Macaca fascicularis: one gene and its partners. Each later gene encodes a partner of the first gene's protein in a complex. Links are inferred from orthologs where the notes say so. Each region holds a gene or a part of one and is shown on either strand. Other genes may lie near its edges.

The links.
Region 2: CNOT2 (region 1) and CNOT6 share a complex: the UniProt entries of both Homo sapiens proteins name them as parts of the CCR4-NOT complex. The link is inferred for Macaca fascicularis from reciprocal best matches to the Homo sapiens genes CNOT2 and CNOT6.
Region 3: CNOT2 (region 1) and CNOT6L share a complex: the UniProt entries of both Homo sapiens proteins name them as parts of the CCR4-NOT complex. The link is inferred for Macaca fascicularis from reciprocal best matches to the Homo sapiens genes CNOT2 and CNOT6L.

Annotation. Positions count from the first base shown.
Region 1 is NC_088385.1:76,972,971-76,983,503, forward strand, and holds the start of CNOT2 (CCR4-NOT transcription complex subunit 2), read left to right. Parts: upstream 1-3,798; 5' UTR 3,799-3,881; coding exon of another isoform or gene 3,882-4,003; 5' UTR 4,004-4,121; coding exon of another isoform or gene 4,122-4,333; intron 4,334-7,910; coding exon of another isoform or gene 7,911-7,966; intron 7,967-10,533. Other genes in the region: uncharacterized protein, read right to left, coding at 2,853-2,922, 3,289-3,798, 3,882-4,003, 4,122-4,333, 7,911-7,966. UniProt on the Homo sapiens protein: Component of the CCR4-NOT complex which is one of the major cellular mRNA deadenylases and is linked to various cellular processes including bulk mRNA degradation, miRNA-mediated repression, translational repression during translational initiation and general transcription regulation.
Region 2 is NC_088380.1:187,397,588-187,407,861, reverse strand, and holds the start of CNOT6 (CCR4-NOT transcription complex subunit 6), read right to left. Parts: upstream 4,835-10,274; intron 4,565-4,834; coding exon of another isoform or gene 4,486-4,564; intron 4,376-4,485; 5' UTR 4,271-4,375; intron 1-4,270. Other genes in the region: uncharacterized protein, read left to right, coding at 4,486-4,564, 4,835-5,994. UniProt on the Homo sapiens protein: Poly(A) nuclease with 3'-5' RNase activity.
Region 3 is NC_088379.1:56,140,635-56,150,031, reverse strand, and holds the end of CNOT6L (CCR4-NOT transcription complex subunit 6-like), read right to left. Parts: intron 9,016-9,397; coding exon 8,788-9,015; intron 6,311-8,787; coding exon 6,108-6,310; intron 4,586-6,107; coding exon 4,307-4,585; 3' UTR 4,125-4,306; downstream 1-4,124. UniProt on the Homo sapiens protein: Has 3'-5' poly(A) exoribonuclease activity for synthetic poly(A) RNA substrate.

The DNA of each region.
Region 1 (10,533 bases):
AGAGGGGCACGTGATTGATAGACAATAAATGGGAATGGGAGCTATTTTAGATAGGGTGGCCATGGAAGGCCTGTCAGATACATTTGGGTTAACCTGAAGGAAGAGAACGAATGAGCCATATTCAAGACAGTAAAACCACATCCCAGGCTGAAAAAATAAAAATAAAAAATAAAAAGCAAGTGCAAAGTCCCTGAGACAGAGTATCAGGTAAGATTAAATTCAGTTGAGAACAAGAGACCCCAAAATAGCGGGTGTAATAATATAGACATTTACGAGTGCAGGGCTGGCATGGTGCTCTCATCCACAAAGTCCTCAGGGACCCTGGTTTCCACCAGTTTTGCCATCCCTAGTATGAGAGAACCTGCATGAGACACAAATTGGCAGCTAGAGTTCCAAAATCACATCTCTATAGTCCATGGTACAGGATAAAGGAAAAGCCGCATTGAAGGTGTACACCAACTATCTTTTAAGGATGGTTTTACAAGTGTGCCACATGATACAATGCTTATATCCCATCAGCCAGCACCGTTACATGGCTACAAGAAAGGCTGCAAAATACAGTCTTTGTTCTGGGTAGCCATGTATCCATGTCTACTACTATGAAAAAAATGGAATTTTGGGGGACAACAGGCTCTGCTACAGACTACAAAGAGCTCAGCCCACGACAGAAAGGAGGCAGTAAGAACGAAGTGGGCAGGAGCCAGATTATGCAGTCTTGAAGGCTATGGTAAGGAATTCCGATTTCATTCTGTGTGCATAAGGAAGCTACTGGAGGGTTTTAAACAAGGGAGTGACATAACCTAATAACATTTTTAAAATGATTGCTTTGGTTGGTATATAGAGAATGGTTTGAATGGGAAAATTTTCATGAGGGTACAGATAGAAAGTGAAAGCAGCTAGTATGGATATTGCCGTGGTCCAGCAAGAGATGATGGTGGCTCCCAAGGGCTGTAGCGGTGGAGGTGATAAGCAGCTAAATTCAGAATATATTTGTCAGGCAGAATTGATGGTACTGTCTGATGAGCTGTATGAGTGTGAAGAATCACAGAAAATTCCAAGTTTTATGCTTGAGCAAATAAGTGAATGGTGGTACTATTTATGAAAATCAGGAATTCTAAAGGAGCAGGAGATTTAGGGAATGAACAAAGGGGATTCAAATGTTGTTTTAGACACATTAGAGAAGCCTGTGCTTTTTATCCCTTGCCATGGCAAAATTTTCAATACCATCCATAGTTTTCTAAAAATGGGTAGCCGTCTTCTTCTACAAGTTATACACAAACTCATTCTTCCCTTAATAGGGTATTTTTTTTCCTCAAAGTCTGTAATTTTTAAATGAAGTGTACAGAGAATTTAACATAACACATATTTTGGAAATACACAAAACATGTGCCTATTAGTATGGACTACTTTTCAGGTAAAAGAAAGACAATCTATTAAGATAGTCAAAAGAAAACCAAACTACCAAATGGGCAAACTTGATTAACATTACCAATGAAGATGAACTTTTTGATGCAACAGGATAATTCAAAAAATGTAGCATCTATTCTTATAGTAAGAATAGTAACTCTTATAGTAAGAATTCTTACTACACAAGCCTTTAACAAATGCTAGGTGATTAAATACCTAGAGTACCCTCTAAGGTAGGTATTAAAACAATTTTAACAAATTTATAATAGATTTGGCACAAATAATAGGACAATTAAAGGCTTGTTCTTCAACATGGCTTAAAGTGAATTCATCCTAAACAAATAGTGTTCAGTGAGTCAAAGTAAGTATCAGTGTATTTTCTCCTAACACTCCTAACCCACACGTTTATTATAAAAATGTTTGTTGTTCTATCTCCTCCAGTAAAATACTCAAGGTAATAAAACTCTCAAATCAGACTTACACCCTCTGGAAGTCATTCTATAGAGGTATAACCAATCTTTTAACACACCATCTTATGGTTGAAGATGTTAACATGAGAGGAGGAGAAAGCAGAAAGAGGAAGGGACTATTTGGAGAAGACGGGGAGAAAAGAAGGAAAGACACCAATGTGTTGTTCCTCCTCGAATTTTCCTGAAGTGGAAAAAAAAAAAAATGAAGTAGAATGTTTGATGAAATGAATAACCAAGTAAAACATTTTCTGTCTACACCAGTACCACTAGGAGTTGAAATAAATTCACACAATGTCTGCTATGTCAAAACACCTTACCTTCAAAAACATGACAGTTACCTTTTATTTTATAGTATGTTGTGTTTCTTGCTATTTCTTATTTTTGACCTTCAATGACAAATTTAAATTAGATTACAGTGATTCTTTTGTAAGAAAAGGTGAATTTTTAAAAGAAACAACCAAGTGAAGTAGAAATTTTATTTACTTCAAATTAATTACTCAAATAGAAAAGGACAATTTTTCACATTATGAAGCTACACAATTCCAAAACACACATGCAGAGGCTCTTAAGAACGAAATGTCTAGTAATTACAAAAAAAGTGAAGAGTTTACAGACATACAAAGAAATAAAGGGGTATTATTGCAAAGAAAAGTTTAATTTCACTTTGAACGACAACGATTTTTCTGGAAAGCAGATACTTCACTCCTTTAAGTTTCCACCCAAGCCACAATAATTTCAAATGGTCTTGCGGATGACCCAGCTGGTCACTCTTGTTTATGTGGAGACTGGGGGGAATGAGAGTCAGAAAAAGTGCTATAAACCTAATTTGGCTAGAGCAAGTTCACACGACACGACCGTGCTTTAAAAACTTGCTCTCCATTATGTACTTCCTTCCACCAGGTTGGGGGGGGAAAAAAAAAAAAAGGTGAGGATGGTGAGTAAATACACCAGTGGTTTCATCAGAGGGGAACTCACTACTCAGAAGGTGACGGTGACGTGGTGCCGGTCCCTGAAGTACGCGCACAAGCTCCGGAGGTTGCGGGAGCTAAGGGAGGAAACGGGGACACGGTTAAATTCGCCCAGGTGGCGGGAATGAGGAGGGGAGGAGTGAGGAGGCGGACGTGCGGGGGCGGGGTGTCCAACACAAACACAAACACGAACACGCTCAGCATCCCCGGGGAGGGCGGACTGAAGCCACCTCACCATTCATCGCCCCTGGACCCTGCGGTCCCCCTCGGACTTAGGGCCAGAGCCCTCTGCGAAGCAACCTGGCCCCAGGAAAACGGTAGCGGCCGCAGAAGCCCCGCTCTCTGTAACGGCCGCGGAGGAGCAGCAAGCCTCCCTGTGAGTCGATGGGAGACAAGACGGAGCAGCGGTAAGGGCGGTAGGGGAGTGAAGCGCCTCTCTCCACCTTGTTAGAAGCGCGCTGGAAGCAGCCTACCCACCCCATCGCTGCTGCTTTGCAGTCGCCGCTCCCACCTTCCGCCGCCACCCGGAGGGAAGCCGGAGCGACGGGGGTCACGGCGGCGGTCAGAGGGTAAAGGTCTTGCTCCCAGCAGCCTCCGCGGTGGATACGTCGCCATCTTGGATCCGCGGGACAAGAAAATTCATGCGGTGAGTTTTTGGCAAATTTTCGGAAGTCTGGCAGCGGGGCGCGCGGCGGGGGCGGCGGATTCGGGGCCCCCGCAAGGCGGGGGAATGCCCCGGGGCCGGTCCGGCCGCGCCCGGGGTCCGCCGGTAGCGTCCCGGCCCGCCGCTTCCCGTTGCTTTTGTCTCGGCTCCAATCGAGAGAGGGAGAGCGGAGCGGGCGGGGAGGGGGGGTGGCGGCGGTGGAGGGAGGGAGGGGGTGTGTATGGGGGTGGTGGTGGACGGGACGTAAAGCGTCGCTGTACTCGGGCCGCTGCAGCAGCAGCTCCACATCCTAGGCCCGGTCCCATCCGCGAGTGGCGGGGCTTCCCCAGACTCCACTCCCCTAGGCTCCCGCCAGCGCGGAGGAGCCGCTACCGCCGCGCTGCTTCCTGGGGGAGAAGAGAAGGCGGCTGCGGCCGTGGCTGAGGAGCTCGAGCCCGCTTTAGACGGCTCTGCCGCCTTCCCAGCAGCTGGTGCTGTCTCTGGCTCCTTACATTCTCAATACACGTATATCATCTGCCAGTTATGTGTATTTCTGTTAGTGTGTGTGTAAGTGTCAGATGGGAGACACTGGACTGGCTAACGGGTGTCAGGAGCCTGCAGGCCCTGGGATACCGAAGGCTGTGCATGGTGGAGGGAGAAGGAATGCAACTGCGATGCTGCCTCTGCCACCGCACCAGGAAGGTGAAGCTTCCGTAGTGTCGTAGACTGAGTCCGGATGGTCCTGGGGCGGCGGAGGAACCACAGATGCTTCTGTCTGTGAAGTTACAAGCCCTGGTTTTCTACTTCCGCAGGGGCCTCTCCACCTTTTGCTGTTGTAGGTCTCACTTAAAAGTTTCACAGAAGAAAAGAGTAGGGTTAAAAGAGGCCTTTGTAGTTCTTAATTGAGGCACTGTTGTCTGTCCGGGAGAAAGCTGATGACTCTTGGTGACTGTGGTCCTTAGCAAAAGTGAATTGTAGTTTTCTTTTATACAAAGTATTTCCAAGGTTTTAGACTTTATATTTATTCCAGGCCTGTAGGTACGGTATTACCACCACAAAAGTCTTACATAAGGGTACCACCCTCTCAGAAGGAACCTAAACAACTTCCTTCGAATCCTTGGAGACATCTTCACTTTTCAACATCCGGAAGACTGAGTGCAACATATTTTGTTTCATTTTCATAAAACTCTTGGTCAGAGAATCCCACTCCTTTTAAAATCGTTTGGGCAGTTCTTCGTAATTAAGTACACTGATTTGAACCCTTAGATTCTTGGCGAAATGGTAAAAAGTACTCAAAGTCAGTTCACGAGGGAAGCCAACTTAAATTTAAGGTTCCAAAGTTGAACATACTTCATGCTTGATATTAGGAATTTTTAGAGCTCGGAATCATAAGTGTGACTCTTGATTTCCCTTTTGAAGCAAGATAAGTGGAAAGAATAAAGTATGGGGTGAGGGATGAGATAGAAATTTTAAAGTATCCATTTACATACAAGGTTTATGTTGAGTTTGGGAATGCTTGGCATAATTGACAACAGTTCTTTCCAAACGTCAATGAATATGTCTCTTATAATTTTGTAAGATTGCGAATTGAAAGGGTTAAGAATCATAGTGGGCTGAAATGGTTAAGTGTCTATATTCAGAGCCCAGTTCATTGAAATGTTTTATAATGGACCAAGATAATTAGTAAGCTCTGTATGTTGAATTTGTTTAGTTTGTAGTTCTTTTATAATGTTAAATCTAAAGAAAAAGAAATACAAAATACACTTAAAGACAAAACATGTTCCACTCTACTCACTTATTTCTTGACTTTGTAAGATCCTTATTGTAGAAAAGGTATCTTTCTCTCATATTTTCTGAGAGCTTGAATTGTAATAACTTTTGTGAATACTTTGTATTTTAGAGAGGAAGTGAGAAACTCTGCTAAAGTTTTTTTTTTTGTATCTGAATTAGTACTTCATCAATACAAATAAGTTAATGTAAACATTTGTTGGCAGGAATCTTTTTTTAAGTATACAATGTAGAGATATCTGTAACCTAATCTGATCTCAGGGAATGAGAATTGCCTGTTTGTTTAACCAAGCAACACATACAGCCTATACAATTTTTCAGTTTCTATAATACTTTAATTTATATGGTGGAAAAGGAGGGCAAAATGCTTGTGTGTGAGTGATTTATATCCCCAAGTACCTGATCTTGAAGATAAAACTCAGAATGTGGCTTATCTTATGATGCTGGGCAAAAAACAAAAACAAAAAAATTCAGAATGATACAACTTCCCATATACCTCCCTACAAGGACTAATTACCTTTGTTTTTCCTTTATAACTTTGGGTGTTGCACTTTTTGATTTTTCAGAGATGCTTTACAGTTATTATAACCTGAAAATTATTTGTTCAAAAGTAAATAAAATTTTCAGGTGTATGAATAGATTTTATTAGAAGTGCTTCTAACCCAGTTCTCATTTGTATTCCTTTAGTAGATACTGGTATTAAAAGTACCTATATTTTGAAAGACCATTACAGAATTTTTTACAACCTGTATAAGTTATAGTTTTATGTTTTCTAGTGACAGACTTCATAAGATTTTCTGATAATGTAAATAGAATGTATGCTTCACATGTATATGTGAAATAATGAGTAAGCATTAATAGACTAGTGAAAAACACTTAGCTTACAATTTATTTTTTTGCTCTTTAAAAGCAATGTTAAACAATAGCTGTTTTTTTGTTGTTAAAATTTGTTAAAATTTTCCTGAGATTTTAGGAAAATATACAACCAAACATTTATGATGTTATTTGTTACCTGGGTCTGTAGGGGATTTTGTAACACAAAGAGGCAAAAGATCCAAGGTACCAGGTAGGGCAGTTTAGGGGCAGAGTTAATATGAGGTGTACTGTAATGTTTGAGTGGAATTATATACAGTGTTAATCAAGGGATCTAGTGCTATGGTAGAACTTATTCTGCTTGATGATACAGGTGACTGTTCTTCCTTACTAAGAGCGGTTTCTACCTGTGATACTTAAAGGGATTGAATTTCACTGTGACTTATACCAGATATTTTGAAAAGAGCTGTGCTAAAGTTGATGTCGTTGTAGAAAGTTTGCCTTGAGGCCGGGCGCGGTGGCTCAAGCCTGTAATCCCAGCACTTTGGGAGGCCGAGACGGGCGGATCACGAGGTCAGGAGTTCGAGACCATCCTGGCTAACACGGTGAAACCCCGTCTCTACTAAAAAAATACAAAAAACTAGCCGGGCGAGGTGGCGGGCGCCTGTAGTCCCGGCTTCTCTGGAGGCTGAGGCAGGAGAATGGCGTAAAAACCCGGGAGGCAGAGCTTGCAGTGAGCTGAGATCCGGCCACTGCACTCCAGCCTGGGCGACACAGCGAGACTCCGTCTCAAAAAAAAAAAAAAAAAAAGAAAGTTTGCCTTGAAGTGGAATGAAAGTTAGGGTTTTATTTCTTTAGTTTTTCTGTTTAACATCCTTTGATTTCTATTTTAGAATTCAACTGTTATGACTAATCATGCTGATGTGGCTTGTTCATTTATTTACTTTGTCTATACTATTAGGAATGTCCTGGAAATAGAATTCATAGTGTGTTTTCTGACAGCTCGTTCTCTGAAATACAGTTGCAAATCTGTTGGTATCCGTTGGTATATCACTTGGGGGTGTGCTGCATTGTAAAGTAATAAAACAGTTTACGATGTTTACTTTTTGTCAAGAGCTCATGATATATAATATGGAAATACAAAAAAAGTGAATTATTTAGAAAAAAATGGGAAATTTTTCGTTTTCTGGGCACTTGAGTGCTTTGTATATGCTTAGACTCAGGATCTAAGTCCACTTAGATATATAGTTAGATATTTTGGACTATTTGCCACTTAACCCTGAACATTTTCCTTTCCTTATTCTTTTTTTTTCTTCTTCTTTGAGACGGAGTTTTGCTCCTCGCCCAGGCTGGAGTGCAATGGCGCGATCTTGGCTCCCTACTACCTCCACCTCCCAGGTTCAAGTGATTCTCCTGCCTCAGCCTCCTGAGTAGCTAGGATTACAGGCATGCGCCCGGCTAATTTTGTATTTTTAGTAGAGACAGGGTTTTACCATGTTGGTCAGGCTTGCCTCAAACTCCTGACCTCAGACAACCTGCCTGCCTCAGCCTCCCAAAGTGCTGGGATTACAGGTGTGAGCCACCACGCCCATCCTATTCCTTTTATTCATGTGTATGTTATTGCATGTATGTGTGTGGGGGAGGGTGGTGGTGCATATTTTATGTATCTTTCACTTCTCTGTTGTTTGATGAACTTCTTCTATACTCCTCTTTGGTATCACTTTCTTCATAAATCTTTCCTGACTCCTCAAATCTTTCTGCTGTATTGCTTTTTAGTCTTCAAACTTCTATTATAGAATGTCACACTGTATTGTAATTTACTGTCCATCTGGACTGGGAGCACCTGAGAGGTAGGGCTTTGATTTGTTTATGTTCATGTTTCAAATGCCTCTATAGTGCATAATACTTAGTAGGTACGTATAATAGATACGTATCTATTAAACTGAACTGTTGCTAGATTGTCATTTGTCAGTACTGTTTCACAATCCACAGATCTGAAGCAACAGATTGGAAAAGTGGTGGGAAGAATGGCATCCTGTATTCCTTCACTTTCTTGAATCCTGTCTTACAGTTTTGCTTCTTAATTACATATGGAAAAATAGATAACTAGCTTCTTAGAGAACTGTGTGTTGAGTTAGTATGGAATTAGGGGAGGATGTTAGTAATAGAGTGATTAATACCCTGTTTTGCTTCTGGCAGGATGTTTAGGTCTGTATTTCTTGCTGTATTATGTGTGGTTATGGCCATTATTTGAAGGAGATATTTTGTATTTGTCTTTACAAGGTAACATGTTTACCAGTACTTACACATGAGCTCCTATTATATTTGGGGCTTCTGAAGTTAGATTCTGTTTTTCTCACCTTTTTCCTCTTAATGCCTGGCCCATTGGTTAGTAGAAAGCAGGATTTCTCTAGTTTGAATAAAATTGCCCTTATGGAAATAAGGTGAGATGTGTCTTATTGGAGGTCCAAAATTTAAAAAGCTCTGAAAGTTGATCATTTGTTTAGTTTTGTTTTGAATAAGGTGAGAAAATATCAACTGGAATTATACCTGTGAATCTGATTATCATCTTTCTTAATCTGATTTTCCCACTTTTTCATATGGAAATGTTCACGTGTTTGACTGCAGGTGTTGCCATTGGCAGATGTTATGTCATATATGATACATACAACATTTTACCTTTCTCAAATCTGAAACGGCGATTTTGAGAAACATCTGGCCTTTACAGGTTTGTTTAAGAGCTTGTGAGCCAGTTTTGTGCCCATTTTAGAGATGTCGAAATCAAAACAGGATAGATGACTCCCAGAATATCATTTTAGTAGATATGCTAATACTGATAATGATTTTAGGAATATTATGTCTTAATTGCCTGTATATGTTCCAGAGACCTTTTAGTGACTAAGAGCTGCTAAAGATACAGAGTATATATTTTTAAAAAGGGAATATGATCCAGTACTCAAGACACCAATCCTTTCTCTGCCTTTTCTGAATGGGAATGTCTTTCCTTATATGTGAGTAGATGAAAATGCACATTTAGTAAGTTTTTACTAAGTTTTAGTAAAAACTTAGTAAAAACTAATGATAAATGAGTGAGAGAAAATTGTGTGTCCTGGCAATTTAGGTAACAGTGAGTAGACTTGCTTGTTTTTCAAACATATTGATATACTATTTTTCCATTTGTGTATTCAGATGTTGTAACAGCTCCAGTTTGTATTAGCATCTGGACAAAACGTAATGACTGATTATGTAATACAATGTGTTTGAGAGAGGAACATTTGGTTTTGTGTCATATCTGGCAAGAATGTGCTTTTGTATTATTTTCTACTTTGTAAATTATGCCTATCCTGCATGTAAATTTTGTATTTAGTTTTCTGCTTGTAAGAATCTTTCATAGGTCAGTAAAATAAAATATTAGGTTTACTGTGCCATTCCAAGCACCTGACTACTTTTGGCTTTGCTACTTCATATTTTAAAAATGTTTTACAGCTTGCAGAGAGGACTTTCATTATCTTAATTTTATATATATTATTTAAAATAAGTTTAAAACTTAACATTTATGTTTATAAACAAGCTATTTTGGTCAATAAGAAAATTAGAAGTTGAGAATTATGAAGGCCATTTTCATCTTCAGACTGTACTTAGAGTCTAATTTCTTTCTCGTTTATTTTAACGCTACTTTATAGAGAAAATCGTGATTTATTAAATAAAATAGGTGTTGATGGAAGATTTATTTTTGTTTGCATCTGATCATCTTGCAGATCCTAGATATTTAATCGAATTGATACAGAAGTTTGAAAGACAAGCAGCAGTAGGAAATTTTTGTTTCAAGCTTGACTTTCTGGCAATATACAACAGCTGCTCATTTTTAAAAATTATAAACATTCATTGAGAAACATTAAAAACTTGAAAGCAAATAGTTTGTTATAATGAGAATAGGTTATAACATATCATTGATGCTACATTTTACATACTATTGCACCATTATTCTGAGGTAGTCATATGCTGAACAGATTACTGGACAAAGTAATGCTTTAGGGGTGTAGTTTTTATGGGAGTGAACATGTCTGGCCTGAAATTAGACAAAAAATTGGAGCCATAATCTTTCTAATCTATGCTTATGAGAAATTCTAGGTATATTTATAAGTATGTCAGGCCAAACTTTATTTAATACAGCCAAACTGGTTAACCTGACATCTGAGATAGTCTTTTTTTTTTTTTTTTGACATATTAAAATTTTGTATATTTATGGTGTACAACATCATGTTTTAAAATATATATACATTGTGGAGCTGCTAAATCAGGGTAATTAACACATGATTTACCTCACATACTTATCATTTTTGAAGGTGCAAAAACATCCTTCACAATTTTCAAAAAGACAATACATTATTCTTAACTATAGTCACCATGTTGTACAATACATCTCTTTAAGTTATTCCCCCTG
Region 2 (10,274 bases), on another chromosome or scaffold:
TTCTTAACCATTCAACACGTGTAAAACTGTTCTATCATTTTTACCAGGTTCCTTTTTTAAATGTGTCACTGATAAAGCTTCCTTTTTTAAATGTGTCACTGACAACCCCATTTGTCAGTCATTTCTACTGTACAATTATGCAAAGGAGTGATTTTTTAGGAACCTGTATGTTGCTTTACAGCAAACTGACTGTATAAATTAACAGTTGTATGAGAACTTCTTAGACCTTAAGTTAGTCTCACTATTCCAATAATTTACTAAAGAGGAAACTGTCATCCCAAAATTTCACAAAATGTTTACAATGCATATCCTAGCAAACCATCAGGATACTGATAACTTTTTAAGCTTGGTGGCTTTGATTTCAACTGGGCATAGGGTTGAATCTTCCAGCTTAAGGTTTATAGCCTGCCTAAGCCTAACTCAGAAGACAAGTGTTCTCAACACCTGAACTTTCATGAGTACTATTTTATGATTTTCATTGCTTTGACTGTTTTTAACTTCTTCCAAAACATACTGACATTTTGATTTTAAATGACCCTGTATTATACAGCAACTGGGCATAGCCCTAAAGTCCCTTAAGGGACCACAGACTCAGGAGACACCATATCCAAGTTAAAAATAGATCCAAGCCGAGCACGGTGGCTCACGCCTGTAATCCTAGCACTTTGGGAGGCCAAGGCGGGCAGATCACTTGAGGTCAGGAGTTTGAAACCAGCCTGGCCAACATGGTGAAACCCTGTCTTTACTAAAAATACAAAAAAATTAGTCAGCATGGTGGCAGGAGCCTGTAATCCCACCTACTCGGGAGGCTGAGGCAAGAGAATGGCTTGAACCCAGGAGGCGGAGGTTGCAGTGGGCCGAGATCATGCCACTGCACTCCAGCCTGGGTGACAGAGAGAGCCTTCATCTCAAAAAAAAAAAAAAGAAAGAAAAACCAAAAGAAAAAATAGATCCAAAGTCACTAACTCCATAATACCTCAAATATATACTTGTACGGCTTCCACTCTATTCTCCACAGGGATGCCAAAGTGATCTCTAAATCACCTTGCTCCCCTGCTAAAAATATTTTGGCTCTCTCTTCTGCTGTAAGATACAGGTAGAAACTTCACTTTTAGCTTAGCAAGCATGGTCCTTCAAAATCTAGACCAGACACACCTTTGCAGGCTCATCTCGAGTCATGCCCACTGTTCCAATAACACCTTATCACTAGTCTTACCCTAACACTTGACACCTCAGTGTACCCACAGTTTCTTCTGTTTAACACGACTCCCTCTCCCCAGTTTGGCAAATCCTATTCAGTGTTATTTTTCGTAAACTGCCCCCACACCCTCCGCAAGTTTAATCATTCTCTATTGCGTTCTCCCACAGCACTCTGTGCACCTATTAAGCCTATACGCTATGAGAGGGCAAAATCAGAGTATTATTTGTCTTTGAATTCTCAGTGTTAAAACACTGTGACTGGCTGGGCGCGGTGGCTCACGCCTGTAATCCCAGCACTTTGGGAGGCCGAGACGGGCGGATCACAAGGTCAGGAGATCGAGACCATCCTGGCTAACACGGTGAAACCCCGTCTCTACTAAACAAATAGAAAAATTAGCCGGTTGCGGTGGCGGGCGCCTGTAGTCCCAGCTATACGGGAGGCTGAGGCAGGAGAATGGCTTGAACCTGGGAGGCGGAGTTTGCAGTGAGTGGAGGTGGCGCCACTGCACTCCAGCCTGGGCGACAGAGCGAGACTCCGTCTCAACAACAACAACAACAACAACAAACACTGTGACCAGTACATACCTTAACGTGTAACTTAAGTTACCAAGAAAATATAAATGGACGAAGGAGAGATAAAGACCAGAGAAGGGTAAAGTGAAGACAGCCTAAATGAGTCCCCATCTTGGATCAAATAACCCCCAACCTCGCTACTTATTCAAGTACCAAAATACAGTACATTCCATTATACTCTAATGCACCCCAGCTATGCATACAGTATATGTTTACAGTTTATTCACAATTTTTTTTTTTTTTTTGAGACGGAGTTTCACTCTTTTTGCCCAGGTTGGAGTGCAATGGTGTGCTCTCGGCTCTGCCTCTCATGTTCAAGCAATTCTCCTGCCTCAGCCTCCCGAGTAGCTGGGATCACAGGCATGTGCCACCACGCCCAGCTAATTTTGTATTTTTAGTAGAGATAGGGTTTCTCCATGTTGGTCAGGCTAGTCTTGAACTCCTAACCTCAGGTGATCCGCCTGTCTTGGCCTCCCCAAAGTGCTGGGATTAAAGGCATGAGCCACCACACCCAGCCTCAGCCATTCTTAATTTCAGATACATAGTGTTTTATTAATCACACTTTGTTGTAAAATGACTACCTTGAGTAATGGGTATAAAGATATCTACAAATCCAACTCTGGTTTTCCCAGTAAAACATACATTTTTAGCTGAGCCTATTAGGACTTTTCCAAAGTGATAAATGCTTTAAAGCAGAGCTTCCCAAACCAGTGGACCTTACTTACATATGGGAATGGGTTCTAAATGTGCTGAACATATTGATCCCTCACCCCTAATGGCCCAACGAATATAGCTGTGAGCTGCCTTAACATTTATTTCAGTATGTCTTACATATATTATCCTTTTCTGTTGCACCACGAAAAAGGTTTATGCTTTAAAGAATATAAGAAGGCAAATATGGGTACTGGAATGTCTAAGCATTAACCAAAATGCATTTTTTTTTTTTTTTTGAGACTGAGTTTCACTCTTGTCACCCAGGGTGGAGTGCAGTGGCAATCTCTGCCTCCCGGGTTCAAGCAATTCTCCTGCCTCAGCCTACTGAATAGCTGGGATTACAGGCATGCGCCACCACACCTGGCTAATTTTGTATTTTTAGTAGAGACAGGGTTTCACCGTATTGGCCAGGCTGGTCTCGAACTCCTGACCTCAGGTGATACACCCATCTCGGCCTCCGAAAGTGCTGGGATTACAGGTGTGAGTCACCGCACCTGGCATAAAATGCATACTTTTAAACTACAGGTACAGTGGGCAAATTCCTACAATGCCTTTACACATTTGTAGTTAGGACCAAATTCTATAAACCAACCTTATGTCTGCTCAAAAGAAAACAGTTTGAAATTTCCCAATAATTGTAGTTTTACTTTGCCAACAACATTTAAGAAACCTGAAAATACCTACAAATTGAACAGGCATATTCAAAAGGAGCTGCCTAGGCTGCATCACCACTATCAAGACACTATGGAAATTAATGATTGGCTTTCAGAGAAAATCGTCAGTCTCACAAGAATATCTATGTCTTTTGTCACCATTTTTAAAAACTGATCAAGACAGGGTCTCACTACGTTGTGACAGTTATCACAGGCTTTAAATACTTCATATTTTTCTGAGACAGGGTCTTGCTGGTCTCAAACACCTGGGCTCAAGCCATCCTCCTTCCTCAGCCTCCCAAAGTGCTGGGATTACATGGTGAGCCATCATGCTTGGCAATTACATAATCTTTTTTGACCATTTCATTAAGCATCTCGTTCACCTACTGAGAAGTGACCTGAAATAACTTCTAACCATTAAAATACCCTCTACCCTCCCAAAAGAACAAACCTCTAGCAATGAGGTCACACACTCGTGTGCTCTCACATGCACACAAACCCAGTGCTTCCCCTCGTAATTACAGTATCATGGGCAAGTCACCTCCACCTTTCTAGGTCTGTTTTCTCATTAGCAGCTGTTCAAATATTTTGTTTAAAACAAAACACCTGGAGTAGATCACAGATCTAAAGATATTAAGCCATTTTTATTCTAATTTTACTCTAAAAGTCACAACATTCTAAAGACTGTGATGGCCAGGCATGTTGGCTCATGCCTGTAATTGCAGCACTTTGGGAGGCCAAGGAAGGAAGATCGCTTGAGTTCTGGAGTTGGAGACCTGCCTGGGCAACAAATCAAGACTCTACAAAAACTTTAGAAATCAGCCGTGGTGGTGTCTGCCGGTAGTCCCAGCTAGTCAGGAGGGTGAGGCAGAAGGATCGCTTGAACCCAGGAGGCAAAGGCTGCAGTGAGCCAAGAACTGTGCCATTGCACTCCAGCCTGGGTGACAGAGTGAGATCCTGTCTCAAAAACAATAAATAAATTAAAGACTGTGATAAATGTCTTAACAGCAATTATCCAAAAAAGCCACCCTTTTGATCAATGGCCCACATCTACTCCTACAGCCTACAAATCTGTTCTGGAGTGGGAAAGTCTAGTATATTGTAAAAAAATACAAAGTGCTACTACACACTATTTTATTTTTTCAGTTATTCACATTCACTCTCTTCCTCTTCAAAGTTAAATTCCCAGATACAAGTAGGCAAGAAGATTCAGCACTAACAATGAGACAATCCACCTGGAAAACAGGTAAGTATGGGAACTCAAATTCAAGCAGATTATCTAAAACACATCAGCTTAACACAGTAACAACAAATCCAAGAAGGTCAAGCGAGATGACCATTCACGATGTTGTCAATGGCAGTAACAGTTAAAAACAGAAGGCTACAGGTGTTGGTTAGCAGGCTCCTCGCGGAAGGCGAAGGAGGTAAAGAGTCAAAGGAAGTTTCCAAAGAAAATAACGATTAGTGTTGAAAAACAAAAAGGAGGGGTGCAATTTGGGTTCCCAGAGAAAACTGCTTCTAGAAACCAGCGCGATCTCCGAGTCCTTAGCAATACTATAAAACAAATCTCTTCACTGCATGCTAAGTGCTTCTTTAACCTGTAATCCACCCCGTCCTCTCCCCCAAAAATCTGCGTTAAACTGCATTTTAAGAACATTTTAGGGGGGGTAAGCAGCGGGTTTCCCGCTCGACAGTAACTGCGGCCGCGGAGTGCGAAGTTCCACACGCGAACCACCCACCGAGCCGCTCCTCCGAAGTTGCCACCGTCTTGGCCCCGAGTCCCGGGACCACGGACTCGCTCCTCCGGCGACGGCAGCCGGGACCGGCCGGGACCCCAGAGCCCGGCGCCGGCCCCTCCCCTCCCCTCCGCCCGCCGCCGTCAATCAACGCCCCCCGGCAGGGACTCGGCTCGGGGGCGCGGCCCGGGGCGGGGCGGGATCGCGGCGCGTCGAGGGCCCCCCACAGCCGCCAGCCGGGGAGCGGCGAGCCCGCCGCCCACGAAACTCAAGTTGCCGCGACCGAGGCCGGCCGACGGGGCGGTCCGTGCGCGGCCGCAGAGAGAAGCGGCGCCCCGGCCGGGCCTCGGGCCTGCCTCGCTCACCTCTCGGGGTGCGCCGCCTTCCTCCGCCGCTGCCGCCGCCTCCTCCCTGTGAGCGCAGCGGGGTCTGACCTGTGGAACCACCATACCAGTCCCGCCCGCTGCTGCAGCGCCGCCGCCGCCGCCGCTCCTCTCCGCCTCAGTCGCTGCTCTTTGTTCCCCCTCCGAGAGCCGCCGCTTCAGCCGCCCGCCTCAGCCGCCCCGGCGGGCCGCCACTACGCCCTCCCGCCCTCTCGGCCCCCGGCCTCGCCCGCCTCGCTGCGCCCGCCGCTGCCTTCGCCTCCGCGCCGCCGACGCCGCCGACACCGACGCCGACGCCTCCTCCTCCGCGCCCCCCTCGTTTTCATTGAAAGCAAACAAGCATCATGGCGGCGGGCGCCGTCCCTCAGCCAGCGAGCGCCCGGACCGCCGCCGGCACGCCAACATCCCGGCCGCTCATTGGCCGCCGTCGCTGGGCGCAACCATCCGGCCTTCGGCGCGGGGGTCGCTGCGGCCCGCCTCGGCCTAGGCCCCGCCCCTCACCCCCGCGCTGAGGAACGGTGGTCCGGCCCGGCGCGCTGCGGGCCCTGCTCCCGGCCTCCCCCGTCCTCTTTCCGTCCATCCTTGGTCTCCTTCTGTTCCCGCTCTCCCCGCTCCGTTCCTGCCTTGGCACTTCTGTTTTCTCCTCTCTGTAGCGCTCCTCCATTTTTCATCTACTTCTTTTTCTGCCTCGGGTGGTCCCCTTTTTTTTTTTTTTTTTTTTTTTTTTTTTTTTGAGACGGAGTCTCGCTCTGTTGCCCAGGCTGCAGTGCAGGGGCGCGATCTCGGCTCACTGCAAGCTCCGCCTCCCGGGTTCACGCCATTCTCCTGCCTCAGCCTCCCGAGTAGCTGGGACTACAGGCGCTGCCACCTCGCCCGGCTAATTTTTTTTTGTATTTTTAGTAGAGACGGGGTTTCACCGTGTTAGCCAGGATGGTCTCGATCTCCTGACCTCGTGATCCGCCCGCCTCGGCCTCCCAGATGCAGGGATTACAGGCGTGAGCCACCGCGCCCGGCCGGGTTGTCCGCTTTTATCTCTTCTCTTCCCTCTTCCTTGATCCTCCTCCCCTTTTTTTCTCCTTTTCCTTTTCCTTAAGCCTTCGCCTGTCATTCACGTCGAAACACAGGTATTTGCCCGGAGCCAGTATCTTGATCTGCCTAAAGACAAGACAATCAGTCGTGAGCAGGCGAATGTTATTCCTTCCTCAATGACGCAGAAAAAGAGTAAGTTAACATACCGTTTCAGTCCATGAATGGTAATTCATTCCAGTACATTAATGGACAGTGTGGTGCTGGGCTCCTAGCCTGAGTAACGGACAACAGCTGCTGTGCGCCAAGATCGAAAGGTGTTCGGGGCAGACTCTGGTGGTTGAAGGTGAGCAGAGAAATGATTGGGCTGATTCATGATGCTTACATCAGGAAATATTAGTTGACTGATGGTCAGGGCACAGAGATGAATCAGACCCCACCCAGCCCTGAGTAAGCTCACAGTCTAGGGGCAAGAAGAACACTCAACAGACTTAATTACTGGAGGTATATTGGTCTGGCGCGGTGGTTCACTCCTGTAATCCCAGCACAGGCCGAGGGGGGCAGATCAGCTGAGGTCGGGAGTTTGAAAACAGTCTGACCAACATGGCAAAACCCCCTCCCTACTGAAAATACAAAAAATTAGCCAGGTGTGGTGGCGGGCACCTGTAATCCCAGCTACTGGGGAGGCTGAGGCAGGAGAGTCGCTTGAACCTGGGAGGCAAAGGTTGTGGTGAGCCGAGATCACACCATGGCACTCAGGCCTGGGCAACAAGAGCGAAACTCTTATCTCAAAAAAAAAAAATTCGAAGTATATGCTGAAGGGTATGGCGTCAAGGAAAAGGAATAGCTGCCTGCCCACCTATGTGGCAAAGTAGGATGGGCTGCTAACTGCTTCCTGGAAAATCAACCCTGAAGAAATGGGAGTGAGACAGGTTCCAGGAACCAACCGTAGCAGCAAACCAAGGCTTCTGCGTCACTGAAGGCTGTTGAGAGCTGGGGATGTGGGAAATGGGTTGCTGTTGCCTGGGGTGGAGGAGACCTGGCTGGAAGGGCAAGGAAAGGATGAGGGAAAAGCTGTTCAGAGATCAAGATGATCTCCCTCTCCCCAGCATGGCCTTGGGATGGTCATTGCTTAGCACTGCCATGGCATCAGTAGTGACAGCCCAGGCCTCTAGGGCCATAGGACACTGGGCAACGATGGCAGTGCAAAAGCCCAGGAGTCAGGAAGAACACATGCAGACCGACCAGCAGGCTGCCTGTGGCCATCCCTGCACAACCTCCTTCCGCCCCAGGCAGGGAGTCGTGCAGCCTGTGTTGTACAGAGCATCCCAGGCTGAGAGGCCAGTGGCACAGACACCCTGCAAGGCCTCTCCTCCCTGTGTGAGTGCCCTGGCCATCTGTGCTCTAGCCTGGGTGCCTTTTTGTAATTTGTATGGCCAGAGGCAGCTACTCTCAGCCCGGTGCAAGGACTCGCGCCTGTAATCCCAGCACTTTGGGAGGCTGAGGCAGGCAGATCACTTGAAGCCAGGAGTTCGAGACCAGCCTGGCCAACGTGGCAAAACCCCATCTCTACTAAAAATACCCAAAAAAAATCAGCTGGGTATGGTGGCGGGCGCCTGTAATCCCAGCTACTTGGGAGGCTGAGGCGTGAGAATTGCTTGAATCCAGGAGGCAGAGGTTGCAGTGAGCTAAGGTTGCGCCATGGCACTCCAGCCTGGGCGGCAGAGCGAGACTGTCTCAAAAAACAAACAAAACCCAGAGGTAGCAATCCCCTCGTGACTGGCAGGATCGTACGGAGGTGGGGAGGTCTCGTTGCACAAAATCTTGGTAGCATAAAGCAACAGTTTTACTGTATCTCGTGATTCTGATGCTCGCCCTTGGGGCCGCATGCCTCTGCCAAAGGTGGCAGCTGGGTGTTGAATATCTGGCACCTTGGTGCCCCCTAACGAGGCCTCCCTCTGCAGTGTCTCATCCTTCAGCCTTTGTGTGTGGCCCCTCTCTCCAGCCGGAGGTGATCCTGCACTTCTTACATGGCAACCAGGGGCTCCAAGAGGAAAGCAAAGCCGCCAGGCCTTCTGAAGAAGGCCACTTCCTCAATATTCTATTAATTAAAGCAGGCACAAGCCCAAGCCAGATTCAAGAGGAGAGGACATAAGCTGTAGAGGAGCTGCGCACACATACAGGGTGGGGTGGACTTATTGGAGCCCTCTGGGGAGACTTGCTACCGCCAGGAGGGTACAATAGTGGCTCTGCTGTGCGTGCCCTGTTCTTTCTGCATATCTAAAGAGAACCCCCGGAAAACACCTACTCACCTTTCAGATCCAGATCAAAGTGCCGCTCACGTTAGGCCAGACCTCCCGTTGCAAGTTATAAAACTCACAACTCAGTATTTCTTTGCAAGAAAGAGGGAATTGAATTGAAAGAGGGAATGCGGACCCATTCAAGCATTGTAAGGTGGCATCAAGAATCAATCTCACCTCCTACCTTCCACCCTACTCTCCTCTCTGCTGGCCTCACACAGGTGGGAAAGATGCCACCAACACCTGCAGGCTTAGATTCTACCAGCTTCTCCACTTAGAGAAGGTGCTTCTTTCCTAATGGCCAAAGACCCAGGGCGGGCTCTCACTGGCCTGGCCTGGGCCCTGTTTCTGCTGCAGCCAGGCAGTACCAAAGCAGGACCAATCTGGGATTGTTATGTGAAGCTAGGACAGCATGAATTGGTGGCAACCAGCACCATCTTCCCACCATGTGGAGAGATGAGACAGTGATGAAGATGTGGAGTCTCAGCAAGGGCCTGACAGTTTGATTTCAGTGGTTTTTTCCTTTAGCCTGTGACCTATACCAGAACCTATTTCAGGTATACAATACTTTTTTTTTTTTTTGCTTAAGTTAGTTTGAGTTTGGCTTCTGTAGCTTACAACCAAAATAATTCTAATTTGACCAGTAAATGCGTTGCACAGATGGATGCGTCACCAGAATAGGGTCCTCATCTGACGTACACAGCAAGTCAGCGCGCCAAGACCCCAGGCTGCAGCACAGGAACAGTTTTAATGCTAGGCCCACGGGATGTGGAGACAGGGAGAAACCACATCTGCCTCCCTGATGAGTCTGGGGCTAGGAATTTCAAGGGTTTTGGAGTGGGCTACAGAGTGGAGCTTGTTGGTTTGTCAAGGAGAGCAGGATGAAGCTGTGTTCTCATGCTGATTTGGTTCCTTTGGATGAGGGTTAGGGGGGTCTTCAGACTGGTTGGCATCGGCTGTTCGACTGGAATTCAGGATCTGCTTGAGCACTTCTTTTATATTTATTTACTTATATTTATTTTTTTATTTTTATCTCTGAGATAGAGTCTTGCTCTGTCGCCCAGGCTGGAGTGCAGTGGCACAATCTCTGCTTGGTGCAAGCTCTGCCTCCCAGGTTCAAGCAATTCTCCTGCTTCAGTTTCCCAAGTAGCTGGGATTACAGAGGCACACCACCACACCCGGCTGACTTTTGTATTTTTAAGTAGAGACGGAGTTTCACTATGTTGGCCAGGCTGGCCTCAAACTCCTGACTTTGTGATTCACCCGCCTCGGCTTCCCAAAGTGCTGGGATTACAGGCGTGAGCCACTGCACCCAGCCTATATTTATTTATTTTACTGTATTTTTGAGACAGGGTCTCACTCTGTCACCCAGACTGCAGTGCAGTGGCGTGATCACAGCTCACTGCAGTCTCAACCTTCTTGGGCTCAGGTGATCCTCCCACCTCAGCCTCTGGAGTGGCTGGGACTGCAGGCACACACCACACCCAGTTAATTGTTGTTGTTGTTGAGATGGGATTTCACCATGTTGCCCAGGCTGGTCTCCAGCTCCTGCCCTCAAGCAATCTACCCACCTCGGCTTCCCAAAGTGCTCGGATTACAGGCGTGCATGACTGTGCCAAGCTGCTTAAGTAATTTTTAAACAAAAGCCTTAGGACTCTAATGTCAGAAATCCCGTCTGTAGTAACAGCG
Region 3 (9,397 bases), on another chromosome or scaffold:
TATTTATAGTTTTTAAAAATTGCCTTTTATAAAATGGTTGGCTCACTGAAACCACTCAAAAGAAAGTATTTGTTTTGGAAAAACAAATACACTGTTGTTGGGCCTCAAATTGGTAATTTATCAATTTTGAATGCTGGCTCTTAATACAATATAAAGAAGGAGGTCCAATTTAAAAACATGTTAAATTAAAATTTTGGAAAGAGAGTAATACTTTGGTTCCAGCCCTACTGCCAAATGATACCAATATGCACAAAAATGTACAAAGTCTTACAGCAAACACATAATGAAAGAAACCTGAAGAAGCAGCTTAAGGATGGCCATACTTCACTCCTACATACTTTGATTTACAACTGTACAGGTCCATAGCAACAGATCCCCGTCTTGGCGGGGCAGTACTCCACTACCTCCGATTAGGCAAGTGAACACCATTGACAAGAGGCAGGAGTGGAGGGTGGAGTTCAAGTTGTGTTAACAGTGAGAAGTGGTCTGAAGGGATGTGAGGGTGTGGACACCCAGTGATGTTGTTCTCAACCAGCCATTGAGGATCTAAAGGCCCCAGGACACCAAGCACGTTCATATGAGTCTTGGAATAGAAAATGTAGTCAATCACGCCCTGGAAAGAGATTGGGGATAGGAAGAAAAGAAAAATTCAGGATATATAAAGAACAATCCATAACTTATAAAAAACAAAAAACTGAGTATCTTTTCTTTTGGTACCTGTTGTCTTGATAGTGGGTCAAGTAAGACTCAAATCTTCAATGGGTATTACATGAAATAAAGGTGGCTCAATAGGGAAACACAGCATGCTACTGGAATTATAAATCCTTGCATTTGTGTGTAAGTGATAATTTGAGAAGCTAAACACATTAAATTATGTCCAGTTATCTTTAGAATTGGCCTGCTTGGTTTAGTGAAATCTAACATATCAGTATAAATATAATGGAACCTGTACTAATCCTATTGGCTATAATAAGTAGAAAATAAGAATATTTATATAAGCGCATACATAGTTAATGGTATTATTTTCAATTATTTGCATATCGAGATATCCAAACACACCTGGCTGAAGCTGTAGTAAACCATGTTTATGAATTTGCTAATCCTAGTTTAGCTTTCCCAGATTTGCTACATACATACAAAACACTACACAGTTAACTGTCCTATTCTTAATTTAAAATACTCATTTTCACAAATACTAGAATATGTGTAAATTCTGGATTTCCTTCCTGCATAAGGATAACTCAGCAAAAATCATTCAGCAGGAAGCCATACATAGCAGTTTTATCTCTCAGAGCTAAATGACTTGATTAGTCTGATCAGTAAGTCTCAAAACCAGGGGGCTTTTATTATCCCAGGTTGTGTATGCAAGAGAGCAAAATCAAATTTCTTCCTATCTAGTTCCTATTCGTATCAGGACAGCCTGAGCCCAAGGAGGGAGAAATATTTCTACACCTGTAAAAACCTATTTACAAATACTATACACGAGTTCCAGCCAATACTTTAAAAAGTATTATAATGAAACGGGCTACTTAAAACACAAAAACTTTTAATGAAAACAAATTTTTATATTGTGAGATTTTGGACACAATCATTTCAGTTTGTTGATTTTCATTTGACCAATATCAAAACACCAAAACTGCTCCTCTCCTAAGAGAGAAGATTCAGGTGCAGTGTCTCATGCCTATAATCCAACCCTTTGGGAGGCGGGGGCAAGAGGATGGCTTAAGCCCAGGACTTCAAGACCAGCCTGGTTAAACATAATGAGACCTGGGTTTTTACGAAAAATTCAAACATTAGCCAGGTGTGGCGGCATGCACCTATAGTCCCAGCTACTTGGGAGGCTGAGGCAGGAGGCTCACTTGAGTCCAGGAGTTTGAGGCTACTTATAATTGTCCCACTGCTTTCCAACCTGGCTGACAACAAGACTCTGTCTCTTAAAAAATAATAATAATAAAAGAAAAGAAGCCCTTATCCAACCCTACTTTACCACAAATTAAGGAACTTACATGAGTCCAGGGGACTCCAAGTTTAAATGGTCAAAAAATGATAGGATCATAAGGTATTATCCCTTCATTTTGGTTATATGCCTAGTTTTACAGTTTTACAGTGATATTTCAGAAAATGAGTTAACAAGGATCAGGGTAATTTTATTTCTCCTTATGAGACAACTTTTTGCTTCAATTCTAAAATAAAACACATGAAATAATCTCAATTACTTATGTGGAATAAAACCTATAAGGCCAGGCACAGTGGCTCATGCCTGATTCCTGTAATCCCAGCACTTTCAGAGGCCGAGGCGGGCAGCTCACTTGAGGCCAGGAGTTCATTACCAGCCTGCCCAACATGGTAAAACCCCATCTCTACTAAAAATACAAAAAAAATAGCTGGGTCTGGGGGCATGCACCTGTCGTCCCAGCTCCTAGGGAGGTCAAGGCAAAAGAATTGCTTGAACCTGGGAGGCAGAGGTTGCAGTTAACTGAGAATACACCACTGCACTCCAGCCTGGGCAACAAAGCCTCCTATATCTTACAACCTTATTAGAGTGCCATCATGCACATCAACTGCTAGAATTCTTTGCAAAGGTAGGCCCCAAGAAAAAAATGTTAAACACTCCAGGAAGTAAGATGTTTTTAATTGAACGCATCACTTGTAATCATTCTCTTGGTTTGAAATATCCGGAGTAAAAACTCTTACCAAAACCCTTAGCCAGGTTATGTCTGAATTCACCCAACGTATTTGTACATATACACCTATGAGAAGGATCCCTAACTTTGATCATAGGCACAAAGGAGGTTACAGACTAATGATTTTTAACCCTTTTGAGTCAGTTTCTTTTTTAAAAGATATAATACTAATAATGTGGGAAAATGCACTCTTTATATTAGTAAGGACTATTATTGTATAAGTCTATAGAACTGTATTTGGAAAAAAGTCAAAACACAACGAAAATATTAATAGTCTGAGTTACCATTATGCTAAGCTTTGTTTTTTAAAAGAATGCCAGAAAATTACAATACCAATTTCATAATGTAACAGAAAAGTTTACTATTTGCTATAAAATAAAAGCTGCCCTTCCTTTTATTAAATGATTCAGGCACACCCTCAGATTAGAGGATAAGCATGGGGTGAGGATCAGCAGCAGGTTTGAATTAAGCTGTTTATTAAACTTACCTGGTCTGAAAGTAATGTTGAAAAAGGAGTAATTCTTCTAATTGTTTACTCTTCAGTTCATTCCAAATCAGTTTGCAATTAAATGAATCTGAGCTCTAAATACCTCTTTTCTACATTTCTATTTTGTTCAAGGACCAAGAAAGTAAACAAATACTAAGCCAAGAAACAAAATTTAACACCTCTCTGATACAATGGCTCCTCACTAATACAAATGGATCTGTATTCGATGCTGATCACAAGGTATTTTACATTTGATGTTACCTATCTTCTTTTACTGATAGATTTCAATATTGGGATAGCATTACAAAATATATGTATAAAACTGAAAAGTTCATTTTCTGTTGGACTAAGAGCTCAATTCTCTCTACTCATGTGTGCCCTTAGTTTAGTCTCTAGCCATCTTTCCTTCAAATACTATTCTATCCTCTCATCCCATCTATCTATCCAGCCAGCCTATTTATCTTCCCATATATTACTCTCTCCCACCTTTATCCTTCTCTCTGATTCTCTTATACATCCAAACATCAAACACTCTCTGAGCCAGACATTTCTAGTTCTTTAGCTGTACTTATTTGAACAACGTAAATGGCTCAATAGGATTTTTTATTCAGTTATTAACACAAGATCTTTTGAAGGACTGTCGATAAATAATTTAAACCAATTCAGATGACTAAGGAAGGTAGATTAATGTCCCAAATTGTGTTTCTCAGATTTTTTTATTTACAGACAAGGAAGAAATAAGCTTTTAAAAAGTCTAGGCCGGGCACAGTGGCTCACACCTATAATCCCAGTACTTTGGGAAGCTGAGGTGGACAGATTGCTTGAGCCCAGGAGTTCAAGACCAGCCTGGGCAACATGGTGAAACCCTGTCTCTACCAAAACCAAAAAACCCTCAAATTACAAAAATTACCCCAAGACCAGCCTGGGCAACATGGCGAAACCCTGTCTCTACCAAAATAAAAAGCCCTCAAAAATACAAAACTTAGCCAGGCATGGTGGCACATACCTGTAGTCCCAGCTACTCAAGAGGCTGAGGTGGGAGGATTGCCTAAGCCCAGGAGGGTGAAGCTGCAGTGAGTCATGATTGTGCCACTCTAGGTGACAGAGCGAGATCCTGTCTCAAAACAAAAAAAGTCTAGGCTGGGTGCGGTGGCTCATACCTGTAATCCCAGCACTTTGGGAGGCTGAGGTAGGCAGATGGCTTGAACCCAAGAGTTTGAGACCAGCATGGGCAACATTGCAAAACCTTGTCTCTACTAAAAATACAAAAAATTAGCCGGGCGTGGTGGTGTGTACCTGTAGTCCCAGCTACCTGGGAGGCAGAGGTAGGAGGATGTCTTGAGCACAGAAGTTTGAGGCTGCAGTGAGCAAAGATCCTGCCACTGCACTCCAGCCTGGGCGACAAACTGAGACCCTATCTCAAAAAAAAAAAAAAGTCTATGTGAAAAAGAAAAAAAAATTTTTCTTTTTACCTATACACATACCTAAATAATAATGATAGTTGCAGAATTACTAAACACTTATTTTCAGGAACTTTATCACAGGTTTTCTGGGTTACGCTGGCAGATATATATCACTATAGTTACAAGGATAGGATTTAAGCTGTGGTAAACTGTGTACCATTAAAAGGTGTTCCTTTAAGCTTACATAAAAGCAATGATGTGCTAGAGTCAGCTAGTACTAGCTTTTCTAGCACCTCTTCCTAACTCTGTGTTCAATGGTATCGTGTTGGGAGACTGGATTCTGCTACAGTAGAAGTACTTAAACCACAGAAATCGGCAAACACCACAAATCAGAGCTTTTTCCCAAAAAGCTCATTATTAAATGTTTACCAGCACATAACTACATATGAGTGGCTGGGCCAAAATGAACTATCGCTGGATTGAATTATCTTTTCTAATAGCAAAAATACTAAATTAGATTCAATTTCTAAGCACTTTTTTTTCCACTTCATGATTATGAAAGCTGATTAGTAACAACACATGAATTCCTTTTCTTCCTCCTCCTATTTGTTTCTTGGAAAGGAGCTAACCCACACAAAAACAGAAAAAGGTTATTGGAGATGTAAGGGAGTCCATTTGTAAATTTCCTTTGGCATTTTATTAAATTCCTGCTAGGCTTCTTATACCAAACTGCTTTCTAACACTTGGATTTTTCCAGATAGTGTAAGATTCTACTATAGATGCCTGAAATGCCAGAAAGTCAAAGAGAGGTACAATAGCAGAGTCACAGGTACACAGAGTGATCAGAAAACTAGCACTGGAAAAGAGATTACATAAAGCCACCACAATCTGTCTTTCTAAAGAAGAGCTGGTCCTGTACAATCGGCCTTTCCATTTTTTTGTGTGTATTTGTCAAAAAAATGTCTTTTTCTTTCAGAGTGTTCCACTGCCTAGGAATATATTAGTACAAATACATGGATATAAAATAGAACCAAAGTACAACCTTCTCTAACCCCATTCCCAAAAGAAATCTGAAAATTTAAAGATACTAAGACATCAATGGAAGGTAGAAAGAAAATCTTGAGAAAATACTACATAAATTCATTCAAAGTGAGTTTTGCTATATTCAGTGCTTTTCTGTCGGGGGCAGGAGGGAGGTTACTGCTGAAAGTTAGGGATGGTTTGAGCAGGTGAGGGTTAACTATATTGATATATACAAAGTGCTTTGACAAGTGCCTCGTACCTAGTGAGCATTTCAAAGTTTTTGTTATTATATTATTTAAAATCTAAACAAACGAGAGAGCAAGAAGAATTTAAGACAATAGCCACAAAACCCAATGAACCTACTTATATCTAGGTGCATACTTAGCCTAGACATTTTAAGAATCTAAAAATTCCTGAAGATTATACAATTAATCATAAAGAATTTACACCTTTTTGTTACATGCTTGTATCTGAAATAATTTCTACACCTGCCCAAAGGCTGCCACTCACTTTGAAATCAAAGGTGTAATTGGTGTAAGGCATCAAGTTATTTTCATAGGCGCTCTTAAGTTGGAAGCCATGTGTGATTCTCCCTTCTGAGCTTCCATTCTTTCCATTGCAGCTGAAGTTCATAAGACACTCATTGTACCTTAGTTCCTTGAAGTCTTTATGGTTGTCAGCTACTCCTCCATTGCTTAAGTATTCCACAACACCTGGTAGAATAAAGAAAAAAGAGACACTCCCATTTAGCATTCAGACCTTACACAAGGCTTCACAGCCAAGACTTGTTACCAGGTTAATCCACCAGGCTCAGAATGGTTTTCTTAGATTGAACCATATAAAACTGCCTTTTGTCATTATTTAAAAATAAAAAATCAAATACCAGCCATTTCATACGATTCAATCAATTGAATCAAAGGATGTTTGCCTATTTCAGAACAAAATATATCAGGAACACTCAAAGATATCCTTAGTTTTCTTGGTGGTTCTTCAGGCCAAAAATTTCCAGGACCTAGGATGGCATTCACCAGGAAGGCATTAACCCTAAATGTTTTCGGAAAATTATTCCAAACCACTATCTCTTTAGCATTTTCCCATTCTAAGCAACAACTCTGCAAATATATAAGTAGAACATATTAATAAAAAACGTTTACAACAAAAACAGATTTTGCATCTTTAACATTTCAATGTCTAGTGTCAGCTAGACAGTATCATTCTTTATTTTGAGCTACAGTGAGTTTTCTCAGTCTGACACTATAAAGAATATTATATGCCAGAAATATACCACTTGGCTAAAAATACAAGGCTGAAGAGAAGAATAGCATTCAGAAAAGTGCACTGCTTCCACTGAATTAGCAAACATGAAAACAGTATCAAAACCCTTATGATTAGTGCATTATTAGAGTCATCCTTCTATTTGTAATAAGGATTGATAGTAAGATATAATGAATGTGTGATAAGCACAATTATCAGTATTGTAAATAGCTCAGAAGGCACTATTATTTACCTAGTATTTGCTACATGCCAGGCACTGTTCTAAGTGCTTTATTCATGTAAATCTCACAAACAATTCTATGAAGTAGATAACATGATTCCCCCCTTGTTAAAAATGAAGAACTAGGCTGGGTGCGGTGGCTCACGCCTGTAAACTCCCAACACTTTCAGAGGCCGAGGTGGGCGGATCATCTGAGGTCAGGAGTTCGAGACCAGCCTGGCCAACATGGTTAAAGCCTATCTCTACTAAAAATATAAAAATTAGCTGGGCGTGGTGGCATGCATCAGTAATCCCAGCTACTGGGAGGCTGAGGCAGGAGAATCGCTTGAACCCAGGAGGCAGAGGTCGCAGTAAGTCGAGACTGCACCATTGCACTCCAACCTAGGCAACAAGAGCGCAACTCTGTCTCAAAACAAAAAAATAAAAGGAAAAATGAGGAACTTAGTCACAGATTGCATAGTTCATAAGTAGCAGAATCAGGATCCAACCATGACAGTCTGGCACCAAAGACATTTCACTACGTTGTATTGCCAAATGCCAGCTAACTGGCTTTAACAAATCAAATACAATGGGAGAAAAACTTGCACTTGAGAATAATTCAACTTAAGAAAGGATTAAGAAAGGAGCATGTGGTTAAAGTGCCAATCAGGCTAGGGGTTAAAGACAGATATTTATTAACAATGATTTCAGCATTATTTGCTAAGAAGAAAAAGATGTTTTCACGTTCAGTGACTTTTTTAATATTCCAAATGGAGGCATTTAGGTTATCTTATAGTAACCTTATTGTTACTTACTTAAATAACTTAAAATAGCCTAGTAGTGATAATATACAAAAGTTAACATATGCTTTGGTATTAGCAAAAGAGTAATAGTTTAATGTTTTCTATTTGATACCTAAAATGCAGAAACTATTTTTATAAAAAGTAAAATGATATAAGTTCAGACATAAAGTAGTTTAGAGGAGCTCAAGAAGTAATATAAAGTCCTACGATAATTTTAATCATTCTTCTGTACCTACTAACAGTATCCAAATATCACTTAATGAATTCACTTAAAAGTTGCTAACATTATTAAACTAGATAGCTACCTGTAATGAATATTTTCTGGCTGCCCCTTCAGATCACCCTTCTGCAGTACACTCTGTGCCTCAGGAAGCTGATCTTTATTGCATCAACTGCAAATCCCTCCCCCCTCTAGCTTCTGGTTGGATTTGATCAATGGGCAGCCTGGCAGGAGATCAGAGGACAGAAGCAGAGTGAGGTAAGAATATATATTCCCCTGGTACCCTTCTTGTTGGTTTGCCAGGGATTGACTGCTTCATGCAATTCAAAGCCATCACTCCTATTATGTGGCCCTTTCCTACAACTGTATTTTTTCCAAGTTCTGATGACAGACAGCTCCCACTACTTTCCCTTTTAGGTACAGGAGTGGTAAAGAGATCTATTACTATATCCCCTAGGGGCAGAGTACTGCATCATTTATTGCTTTGTTTCCCTTAAACCAGCCAACACCTTTGGAAATAGCTTCTTTATTAAACTCTTTTCTATTACCCTGTGTCCCATCCATGGGATTCTTACTGATACATTCCCTAATTTAGAAGAGAAATTATCTATTCAAAATTTAGGAGCTAGCTGGCCTCTGAACCCAAGAGTAAAAATGAAATTGAAAGCAGTGAGGAAATGATGTTATAAATACCTGAATCTGGCAATGAGTTAAGATCTGCACATAGCACCAGCGGGATGGAATTAGGATCTGCAGTTGGGCTGCCAGGCCTACTAGAGGCTTTCTCCAGAATGTTTTTAACCTCTGAGACAAACATCATGGTCTGGATAAGCTTCACATCAGAATACTCTGGGTCCCAATGCATGTGGGCATTTGCCACTATAAGCAGCTGTTTGTCTGCAGCATGAATAGGCTTCATACCTAAATTTAAACATTACAAAAAGAAGACCCAGTTATGCTTTATGTCTGAAGAAATGTGGCATCCTCATGTTTTCTCAGTATGATCCACAGCTACTTCTTTACTCTTTTCCATGAATTTATAACTTCCCTTTTATCTGATAAAGTAATTCTTAGAAGCTAAAGGGCTGAGATTCTGGTAATCCTACTACGGGAGTTACTCTCCTAGATCAAGTTGGCAAACTGTAGTCCATGGACTAAATCTGGCCCACAAATTTGGTACAGCCCTTTAAATATCTGTCATTTAAATAGCACAATAATGTAGTAAGGCAGGTTTTCAGTTGAGTTACCTAAACCTCAATCTAAATTCTTACTACTGTCTAGTACTCATTCACCTTGCATTTCC